Regions from separate parts of the Mus musculus genome. Here all the other regions are reported to be linked to region 2. Evidence: microRNA targets listed by miRTarBase, many of them from high-throughput screens and not tested one by one. Region 2 holds a microRNA gene; each other region holds the end of a gene's coding sequence.
What was found. Region 2 holds the annotated microRNA mmu-miR-344c-3p (UGAUCUAGUCAAAGCCUGACAGU, at 2,176-2,198, shown strand). A microRNA usually pairs through its seed, bases 2 to 8, with sites in the 3' UTR of a target mRNA and lowers its output. Matches are read on the target gene's strand: a 7mer-m8 pairs with bases 2 to 8, a 7mer-A1 pairs with bases 2 to 7 and ends in A, and an 8mer does both.

Region 1: the mRNA of Bcl2l11 is a reported target of mmu-miR-344c-3p. Seed matches in the 3' UTR shown: 7mer-m8 at 2,934-2,940.
Region 3: miRTarBase lists Rrp1b as a target of mmu-miR-344c-3p. Seed matches in the 3' UTR shown: 7mer-A1 at 1,535-1,541.

What each region holds. Positions count from the first base shown.
Region 1 is chr2:128,157,859-128,160,963 of GRCm38, forward strand. Bcl2l11 (BCL2-like 11 (apoptosis facilitator)) reads left to right here. Exons shown (of 4, transcript NM_207680.2): 4 at 373-3,105. The coding sequence ends at 471. Among named protein-coding and RNA genes, the nearest start is that of Gm14009, 10 kb to the right of the region's middle.
Region 2 is chr7:61,836,279-61,839,520 of GRCm38, reverse strand. Mir344c (microRNA 344c) reads left to right here and starts at 2,119; the gene lies at 2,119-2,210. The region is part of intron 6 of A230057D06Rik (RIKEN cDNA A230057D06 gene); the gene reads left to right.
Region 3 is chr17:32,060,204-32,063,308 of GRCm38, forward strand. Rrp1b (ribosomal RNA processing 1 homolog B (S. cerevisiae)) reads left to right here. Exons shown (of 16, transcript NM_028244.2): 16 at 145-2,659. The coding sequence ends at 338. Among named protein-coding and RNA genes, the nearest start is that of Rrp1b, 26 kb to the left of the region's middle.

The DNA of each region.
Region 1 (3,105 bases), not on the chromosome of region 2:
TCTAAATATCAGTGAACGTGGCTGGCAGTACAGAAACCCAAGTTCATTCTTTTCTTTTCCTCTGCTCCCTCCCACACCCTCAGTCACGTCTCCTGAGACACCAATCATCAGTGACCTGGCGTGGCTCCTGTCCAGTACCCATGTGAAGGTTCACAGTTCCGGGATAGCTTTGGAATAGTTTGGTCTTCTGTTCGCTCTGTTTCCCCAGTGATGGAGAGTTCACTCGGTACACTTGTACTCCATGATGTCACATCCTTCCCCCCTGGAATTTGAGTCTCCCTGCAATTCAGATGGGCTATGTCTCTTGCCTTGCATACGCGCCTTCTCCAGATTACGAGAGAGTTGCTAAGAACTCTGCTTCTGTTGTTGCAGGTGTTTGCAAATGATTACCGCGAGGCTGAAGACCACCCTCAAATGGTTATCTTACAACTGTTACGCTTTATCTTCCGTCTGGTATGGAGAAGGCATTGACAGGATCTACATGCAGCCAGGATACGTGGCGGACATGGCTCTTGTTCAGACTGGGAGAACCCCCACGCGTCATGTCCCTCTCTTGGTGCTGCGACAGTGTGTCCAGTGGTTCTATCCCAGAGAGATGTGCTGAGCATGGACAGCGCTCTGCACTGTGTCGATGTGAACGGAACCTCTGTTCATCACCACATGGCCGAGTTTTCAGTAAATATTTGTTGTGAATGTAAACAAGGGAGGGCTTTTCTCTTTTTAATGTACAGATCCTAGGAACAGAGAAATATGCAAGAGAGGTGTTTACATGTGGCGTGTTAATTTTTTTAAACCCACTTTCTTTGATAACTGTTTTTGGGGTTTTTTTTTTTTGTCTCATTTTCTTTCAGAAAGTAAAGCTTTTTAGCCAATTTATGGATGATTTTTATACTCAAATTCTTAACCCACTACCTACTCAGAGGATTCCATAACCCTGCAGTGGGAACTGAGCCAGCTGATTTATAAGGCTGCCTTAGTTTATTTTTAGAAATTACTGTACAGAATTTTTTAAACAGGAAGAGTATGGTGTTGCCCTCTCTCCTCTGCCATGGCCTCTTTGAGTTTCCTTTTGAGTTATTACTACCAAAACAGTTCTTAGGAAATGGAATGAGTTCGAGCGGCAGAGGTTCTGTTCTGGTACGCCACTTCCACTTTGTAAATATTTACCTCCTTAGCTCAGTTGCTCCTGTAGCAGAAATTCACACTTTTCCTGCTTCCCTCAACTCCTCAGACCCCTCGGTCTGTCTCCACACGGATGCGCAGCTTCAGCCCAGGGTATCTTCAAGTGTATTGTGTCAGCAAGGGCTAGGGGCTGCCCGGATTGTGCCCAGCTCCATCAATCAAGCTGACTCACGGGAAGGGCTCTCGTGCGCTTCACTGCACTGCGGTGGCTGTGTTTGCCTCTTTTATCCTGAGAGGACGTGGGCTCACACACCGCTTGCTGAAGCCGCTAGCTCCACTGGTTGCTGGCTTTGCTGCCGCCACAGGCTCTGCTTTGCTGTGTGTATCAGGTGAGCTGGAGCCCACGCTTTCTCGGGGACTGGCCAGGTCATTTCAGGAGCAAGGAGCTCAGGTGATCCTTTTCCATGCTTCTTGGGATGTAGCCCTGCTCACCCCACCTGGCCTGTGATTCCTGAATTTCATCTCTATTCCCTTGAGTTAGGGGCTGGCTCTACTTCCATCAGTTCCCAGACATAGGAAGCTTCCATTATGCCGAGTAAAGCACTTGTCTTCCACAAGATGTCTGCCTGCTTTGCTCTCTCCATTTTCTTAATACTTGGATCTTGTTGGGCTTACTTGTGTCTGGGGTGGGGGTGAGGTGCTCTTTCTTGGTCCCTGCCCCTTAGGACCACAGCCCAGACATTTGGTCAGTTATTTCAAGACCAGGCAGGACTGGAAGTGCACAGCCTGGTGGAGGAGCACTTTCTAACCTGTGGAGAGCTGTGGCCCAGCTCCAGCTCCTCCCAAAACAAACGGCACACGTGTAGGCAGACAGCCAGGGGAGATACAAAAAAGGACCAAGAGGAAAGAGCATGGGAGGAGTGGGGATGGCAAGCCCTCTCACTTCTGAGAACTTCAGACGTCAGGCAGCTTGCTCAGGAAGCTTTATGAGTTTCCTCGCAAGTCAGCAGTGCCAACGACTGTTTGCTTTTGGCCTGTAGAAAGCCAGTGGTTTTTCTTATGTTATGAAGTAGAGAAATCCGTTTGTTCATACTTTCCTCTGTGTGTGTGTGCATGTGTGTGTGTGTGTGCATATGCGTGGTTGTGTGTGTTTATATGTATATGTATATTACCTATAAGCTTCCTTCTAGATTGAGATCATCTGATTCCAAATATCCTTATACATTTCCCAGCTTCGTTAGATTTGGTGTGGTTTGAAAGCTGTTTTGGCATTCTCCTCCTTTCCTGATGTATTGAGCCTGCTCATGGTTCCCATGAGGCCCTGTGGTTATTATAAGTTGGTGTTAAAACTGCAACCATGGCTCTCACACACACACACACACACACACACACACACCAAAGACATACTTGGTCCTGGGCCATGCCCCCCTCCTAGGACCTCCATTCTCATGTGCCAGTCTCCCCGACTGGAGCACTTTACTGTCTCAGCCCCATGGCTCTGTGGCAGTGCCTGAGCAGGTGCAGAAGCTCCAGAGCCAGGTCCCAGTGACATGTGTGGCCCCCAACGCATGCTTACCTCCAGCCTGGGGCTGGCCGCTGAAGCAGCTCATAGGGAAATAAGAGATTCTATGAATTGTAGAAGTATTCAAGAACAGGATGCGGCACCCAGAACGTAAACATGACTGGATGTCCCTGTACTGTATCTGTTTGTTAGAGTGCAAACGTCGCCTGCAGACAGACAGTGCCCCTGCTTACTGTGGGTAGGCCTTTGTACTTAAATATATTCTCTCTCGTTTTTGGTAGGACAGAAACTAGATCTCCCTCCCCCTCGTGTGTGTGTGTGTGTGTGTGTGTGTGTGTGTGTGTGTGTGTGTGTGTGTAAACATAATGCGGGTTTTGTGCCTTGACAACCTCCCCATGTGAGGTTTGTAAATAGTGTCCTGTGACTTCACCTCAAGTTGTAATAAACATACAAAATGGTGT
Region 2 (3,242 bases):
ACTGTCTGTCTAACATAACAAACAGTCTCTAAGAGTATAAAATTCTAAGACATACTTAAATAGAACCTATAGGAAAATACCATTTAAATATATGAAGATTTTGAATAAGTCTGAGATGGACTATACAGGAGAATACACTGTGCTTCTCTTGTACCATTATATGTGTGGGGGTCATAAGTGAGGCACAGTCACCTGCCTGTTACCTCAAACTTCATTCAGTTTTCAGAAATAATATATTTGAAACTGGTGGAGTCCAAATGACAGAATCAGAACGAGGAAAGAAAAAATATTGCATGGACAACAGTGTGGTCCTCAAGTTATGTTTATAATGCTATTTTTTTGCCTTTAAGATTATAATATGCAGATCCAGATAGATGGTTCAGATATCATGGGAATATGCGTATCTGGGGTTTATTTCCAGAATACTCATATTAAATTAAAAAACAACAGGCATACATGTATTAGCAGTGATACATACATGTATCATGCAGTCTCATACCATGAGCTAGGGACTCAAAAATCACTGGGTTTTGAGGGCCAGCTAGGCTAGAATGTTTAGCAAAATCCAGTCATTGGAGTTAAATATTATCTTAAATAATGCACACCTACATTGAATCTCTATATAATAGATATGTATACTCAATAGCAACCATGTATTTCTATCATTAGAGATTGTATGCAAAATTCTTATATTATGTACATCCAGCCAAAATCCCAGGATGACTAGAAGCAGGACTCATGAAATCCCACTTGTATTAGACTGACTTTTGGTATTTAATAAGTTGGTGGAATAGTCAGATTTTTCTCAGGGATCCTTACCTGAGAGACTACAATTTTTCAGTAGATGGTGCCATATCCATGTACAGACAAATGCCTTAAATGAACTCAGATTTATTAAAGAGACAGAACATATATTACCTTCTGATGGAATAGGAATAGCAGTGATTGGAAGTAAAATACAGTGTACCAAAATGGAGTGGATTTCATAAATCATTTCCTGAATAAAACATTTTATGACTATCAACTGCACTGTATGCACAATTCTTATATTATGTACATCCAGCCAAAATCCCAGGATGACTAGAAGCAGGACTCATGAATTCCCACTTGTATTAGGCTGGCTTTTGGTATTTAATAAGTTGGTGGAATAGTCAGATTTTTCTCAGGTATCCTTACCTGAGAGACTACAATTTTTCAGTAGATGGTGCCATATCCATGTACAGACAAATGCCTTAAATGAACTCAGATTTATTAAAGAGACAGAACATATATTACCTTCTGGTGGAATAGGAATAGCGGTGATTGTAAGTAAAATACAGTGTAGCAAAATGGAATGGATTTCATAAATTATGACTATCAACTGCACCTAAGAAAGAAAAAAATAAATAAAAGAAAGCCCTACCTGCATTCAAACCTAATGTATAATCACAATAACACAAATATCTTACATATATTCACAGAGAAATTTTGAAAATATATGTATATTTTAAGCATTTCTGAGGTAACAATTTCTAAAATTATTTTTTGTCATTATGACAATCATTATGGTAACTATTTTGGAGCAGTGTTTTAAAGTAGCATTTCTGTCTTTCAGTCCTAGCAGATTTTAATAAGACAATTCAATAGCTATGAATATATTATGTAGTATAATTCAAGAATATATTCATACCAGTGGGGGAAGCAGACACAGGAAGAGACCAAAAAGTCAGTAGCAAGCTGCACTTCATATCCCAGAGTCACAATCAGAAAAATTGAAGCAGAAACTGAGGCTTTCTTCTATATATACACAATATATTTCCAAGCAGCCCCTGACATTATAAGCCTCCATCATCACATACTGGTACTGTGCATTGTTAATTGGAGGAAGAGCTTTGGCTAAATTGTGTTTTTTTTTTTTTTCCTGGCTTCCCTTTTCACTTTCCTTGTTTCTGTGGCAACACACAGGGAGGAGGGAGAGATAAATGAATCAGCAGCTCTAATGGAAATCTCCAAGGTTACCAGGCTGTGCTTTGCATTCTTATGTTTGAGATCTCTCTCCTGATTGGCTCTTAATCCATTCTGTATTTGCATGTACACATTCCTCCAATCAGAAGCAAAGGGAGCAAATAAAAATTTCTTCTGCAAGGGTTTTTTTCAGTCAGGCTGCTGGCTAGAGTACAGCTATCAGCTGGTACCTGATCTAGTCAAAGCCTGACAGTAAACTGCTCCAGAGAGGAAGACTGACTGCTCTTGCAGGAGACTGAGCCAGTGGAGATATATCATAGGCAGGGACTTCCTTTCCTGCTCTGAGTCCATGGCTCCTGTTTATTATACAGGAAATATATTTCTCGCAGTGAAGCCAGTTTCTCCTTTAAAATTTTCACCATTTTTCCAGGCTTGGGATCCTTCATCAACTTCAAAAATGATTATAAAATTTGCCAGTCAGTTTCTGACAGATACCAGGTATATTCTATTCCTACAGTCCAGGGTAAGACCCACTATGAAGAACTGCTCTGGTAGGGATAGTTCTCACATGACCCACTGATATACCCTGAGAGGCCAACCTTTAACATTTCCAGACCACTATCTTACCTGTCTTCCAAGGCCTTCTTAGACAAAGAAATATAGCATTAGATATATTACCTACTATCATTTTGTTGCCTTTAATAGAATTGGGAACAAAACACCCATGGAATTAGTTACAGAGACAAACTTTGGAGCTGAGATGAAAGAATGGACCATCTAGAGACTGCCATACCCTGGGATCCATCCCATAATCAGCCTCCAAACGCTGACACCATTGCATACACTAGCAAGATTTTGCTGAAAGGACCCAGATGTAGCTGTCTCTTGTGAGACTATGCTGGGGACTAGCAAACAGAAGTGAATGCTCAGCTATTGGATGGATCACAGTGCCCCCAATGGAGGAGCTAGATAAAGTACCCAAGGAGCTAAAGGGGTCTGCAATCCTATAGGTGGAACAACAATATGAACTAACCAGTACCCCCCTCCCCCAAGAGCTCGTGTCTCTATCTACATATGTAACAGAAGATGGCCTACTTGGCCATCATTGGAAAGAGAGGCCCATTGGTCTTGCAAACTTTATATGCCTCAGTACAGGGGAACGCCAAGGCCAAGAAGTGGGAGTGGGCCGGCAGGGGAGTGGTGGGGGGAGGGTATCGGGGACTTTTGGGATAGCATTGGAAATATAAATGAAGAAAATACCTAATAAAAAAAGAAAAAAAGAAAAGAAAAAGAGTATC
Region 3 (3,105 bases), not on the chromosome of region 2:
TTGCTCCCTTTGATGTATCTTAGGTGTCTCCTGCATTTCAGGGGCCTTGGGAATATAAGCCAAGAGCCCTGTGTACCTGGAAAGGACAGGCATGACACCCAACTAAATAAACTGAGTAAATAGCCTCACTTTCTTTTGGGACAGAATTTAAGAAGACAGACAAGAGTATCCTGGTCAGCCCCACAGGCCTCTCCAGAGTGGCCTTTAACCCTGAGCAGAGGCCACTCCACGGAGTGCTGAAGACCGCCACGAGCTCCCCGGCCAGCACTCCTCTGTCGCCCATGAGGCTACCAGCCACCACCCCAAAGAGAAGGCCAAGGGCTGCGGACTTCTTCTGAGAGCCAGAAGCCCTTTCTGAAGCCTGCTTTTATACCGGATGTTCTATAAATTATAACTTTTAAAGTTGGGCTTTTTAATTACTTTACAAATACCCATGAGTGGGACAGATGTTCTGAACCTGGACCACAGGCCTTCCTGCTAGGCTTGCAGCCCACGGTGCACATCTGCGCACACCCTCACTGAGGACTGAGTGCTGTTGGTACACGGAGCCCCCTCCTCCATACCCATTGCTGCACCACCACTGTGGATTGCACGCCTTTCTGGGTGGCTGCAGTCTCTGTCCCTTGTGAAAGCATGGCAGCTTCAGGCCCATCTGCGGGCATGTGGCTGTTTTTCCTGGGATTGACTCCTGAAATGGAATGAGCAATAGTGTAGCTTTTCTACGGGTGACCAGCAGGAGGCTAGACAGGTGGGGGGGTAGGGGAAAGCCACTTTTCCCGGAGGCTTCTCCTCCTCTGCCTGGCCTGTTCCTGTCCCTGTCTTCCTACCTCTATAGCAAGCCCAAAGTGTCTTTTCAGGAGGGCCAGTAGCCCCCAGGCTGCTGCCCACATTAGCACAGTTTTCCCAGGGCCTCCCTGACTGCACCAGTAGGGTCTGGACCCCAGCTCTTGCCTGACCTGGAAGTTGGCTGCCCAGGAGTAGAAGCCTGTTAGCTGCCTCCATGGGTTTTATACAGCTCTTCTTGCTTAGTGCGGAACCCAGGGAGCTGCTCAGACTTCCACCAAAGCAAATCTGGCTCCTTCTTTAGAGAGAAGCCTACGTGGCGACTGCTCTTATTTAAGGAAACCACCTTGGGTCTGAGAGGTGGAGAGGCCGTGGGATTAAGCACAATAGGAGGCGCAGCTCCTGCTTCTACCGTTAGGCGCTGCAGGCTTGAAGTGGCAAGGCCCTGCATCTCAAGCACTCAGAGCTCTGTGAGCTTGCCTACTGTGCGCAGGATCTCCCCAAGTATGTCCTACTCTGTGCACCCTGTGCTGGAGCCCTACTTTTCACCCCGCTGCCCCTCGGGAGGACTGCAGCTCGCTCCTGTTGGGATCGCAAAGCTCGGGTACCTGCCCCGGCTTTGCTCCACACAGTCACGGGGTCCATTTCCAAGTCGTCTTTTTTGTTTGTTTGTTTGTTTGTTTGTTTGTTTGTTTGTTTTTTCCAGACAGGATTTCTCTGTGTAGCCCTGGCCGTCCTGGAACTCACTTTGTAGATCAGGCTGGCCTCGAACTCAGAAATCGGCCTGCCTCTGCCTCCCGAGTGCTGGGATTAAAGGCGTGCGCCACCACGTCTGGCTCCATTTCTAAGTCTTGAACCAACTGACTCCCGAATGCCATTCCCGGAAGGAACCAAGTGGTGACTTTGTCCTCTGCCTGCTCAGTCACAAAGTATATCACTAGGCCATAAAAATGGAGATGATGTTTTGCTTGTGTCACAGTAGGTCTTGTGCAGTGTCACTTGTAGTTGCATGGTTACAGCGTGCTGAGTTTGACCATTACATTCAAAACTAAAACCTGTGTAGGAAGGTTAAGGTCGTGGCAGCAGATGCCTAGCTTCTTATTTAAAAAGTTGAGTGCACCCAGCCATTTTCTGTTTTAAAGATAGGTTAATATAGCCAAGAGGGTCATACAGCCCAGTGGTGTAGAGCAAGACACCAGGTAGCAGTAATAGAAAACAACCTCACACCATTTTCACAATGGCCGCCCATCCTCGGGGACTGTGAGTGTCCTTGTCTTAGTCAAAGCACATCTCCTACCAAAATTGCTCCCAAGATGGAGGGTGAGACCTCAGTGCTAGGTTGACAGGTGGGCGTCGCCATGCCTGGACCAATTCCTGCACAGCACAGGAAGGCTCCACTCCATGAAGGAGTGCATTTAGAATGGCATCCTGGTCCTGGATGCAGATTCTCAAGTAAAATTGCTGTTAAATTTCTTCAAGTCCAGAGAAGCAAATCTTAGTGCGGGCAGACCGAGTTAGTGTTTGATGCGACTATCTCCATCCTTAGTATGGATGTGGTCAGTTCTGCACAATTTGGTTTCAAACTAACTTTTTTTTCTTTCCTTTTTAAAAATAATAATAATGTCTCAGTATGTATCCTATCCCACACTGGCCCCACACCGGTGGTCTCCCTGCCTCAGCCAGGCTACTGCTGGGACACGCACAGGAAGGAGCATGAGGGGGGGTTGGGAAGCAGTCGCCTGCCTGGGAAGTGGGTCTGTGTTTTCTCTAACTGCCACAGTGCTATTTGTTTACCATCAAATTGTATTGGTGTTTCCAGGGCTTGTTGGTACAAATCAAAGCCAAGACCAATTAAAAGAAATGTATTTTTATCTTCGGATTGGTCTTTGATGTTGCCTCTGTGTGTATAAAAATAGACCTCTGGAATGACTGTCATGTCAGGGTCTGGAAAACTCAGGCATCTGTCGTTTTTGAAAACAGGACACAGCGGGTACCTATCCCTGTTTCCCCAGAGCCAGTGAGCTCGTTCAGGCACTTGGTTGATCCTGTCCTGGGACTGCTCACTGCCATTCACTGTGTCTAAAGCAGAGGATCTGGGCCCTGAGTGCAAAGCCCATCTTCACCATAGGGAGAAAATGCATAATGTGTCCCCAGCCGTGGTCCACATGTTGTAAGATCAAAACCCACTCAAGTCAGCTAGAGGAAAAGGGCACATGGACAGGAGGCCCAGAAAGTTTTTCAGCCTACCTCAGGAAGGATTGTGGCAAATGGAGGTTGGAAGAGGCTTCTCCAAGAGCCAGAGAACTCAGACAACCAGGAACC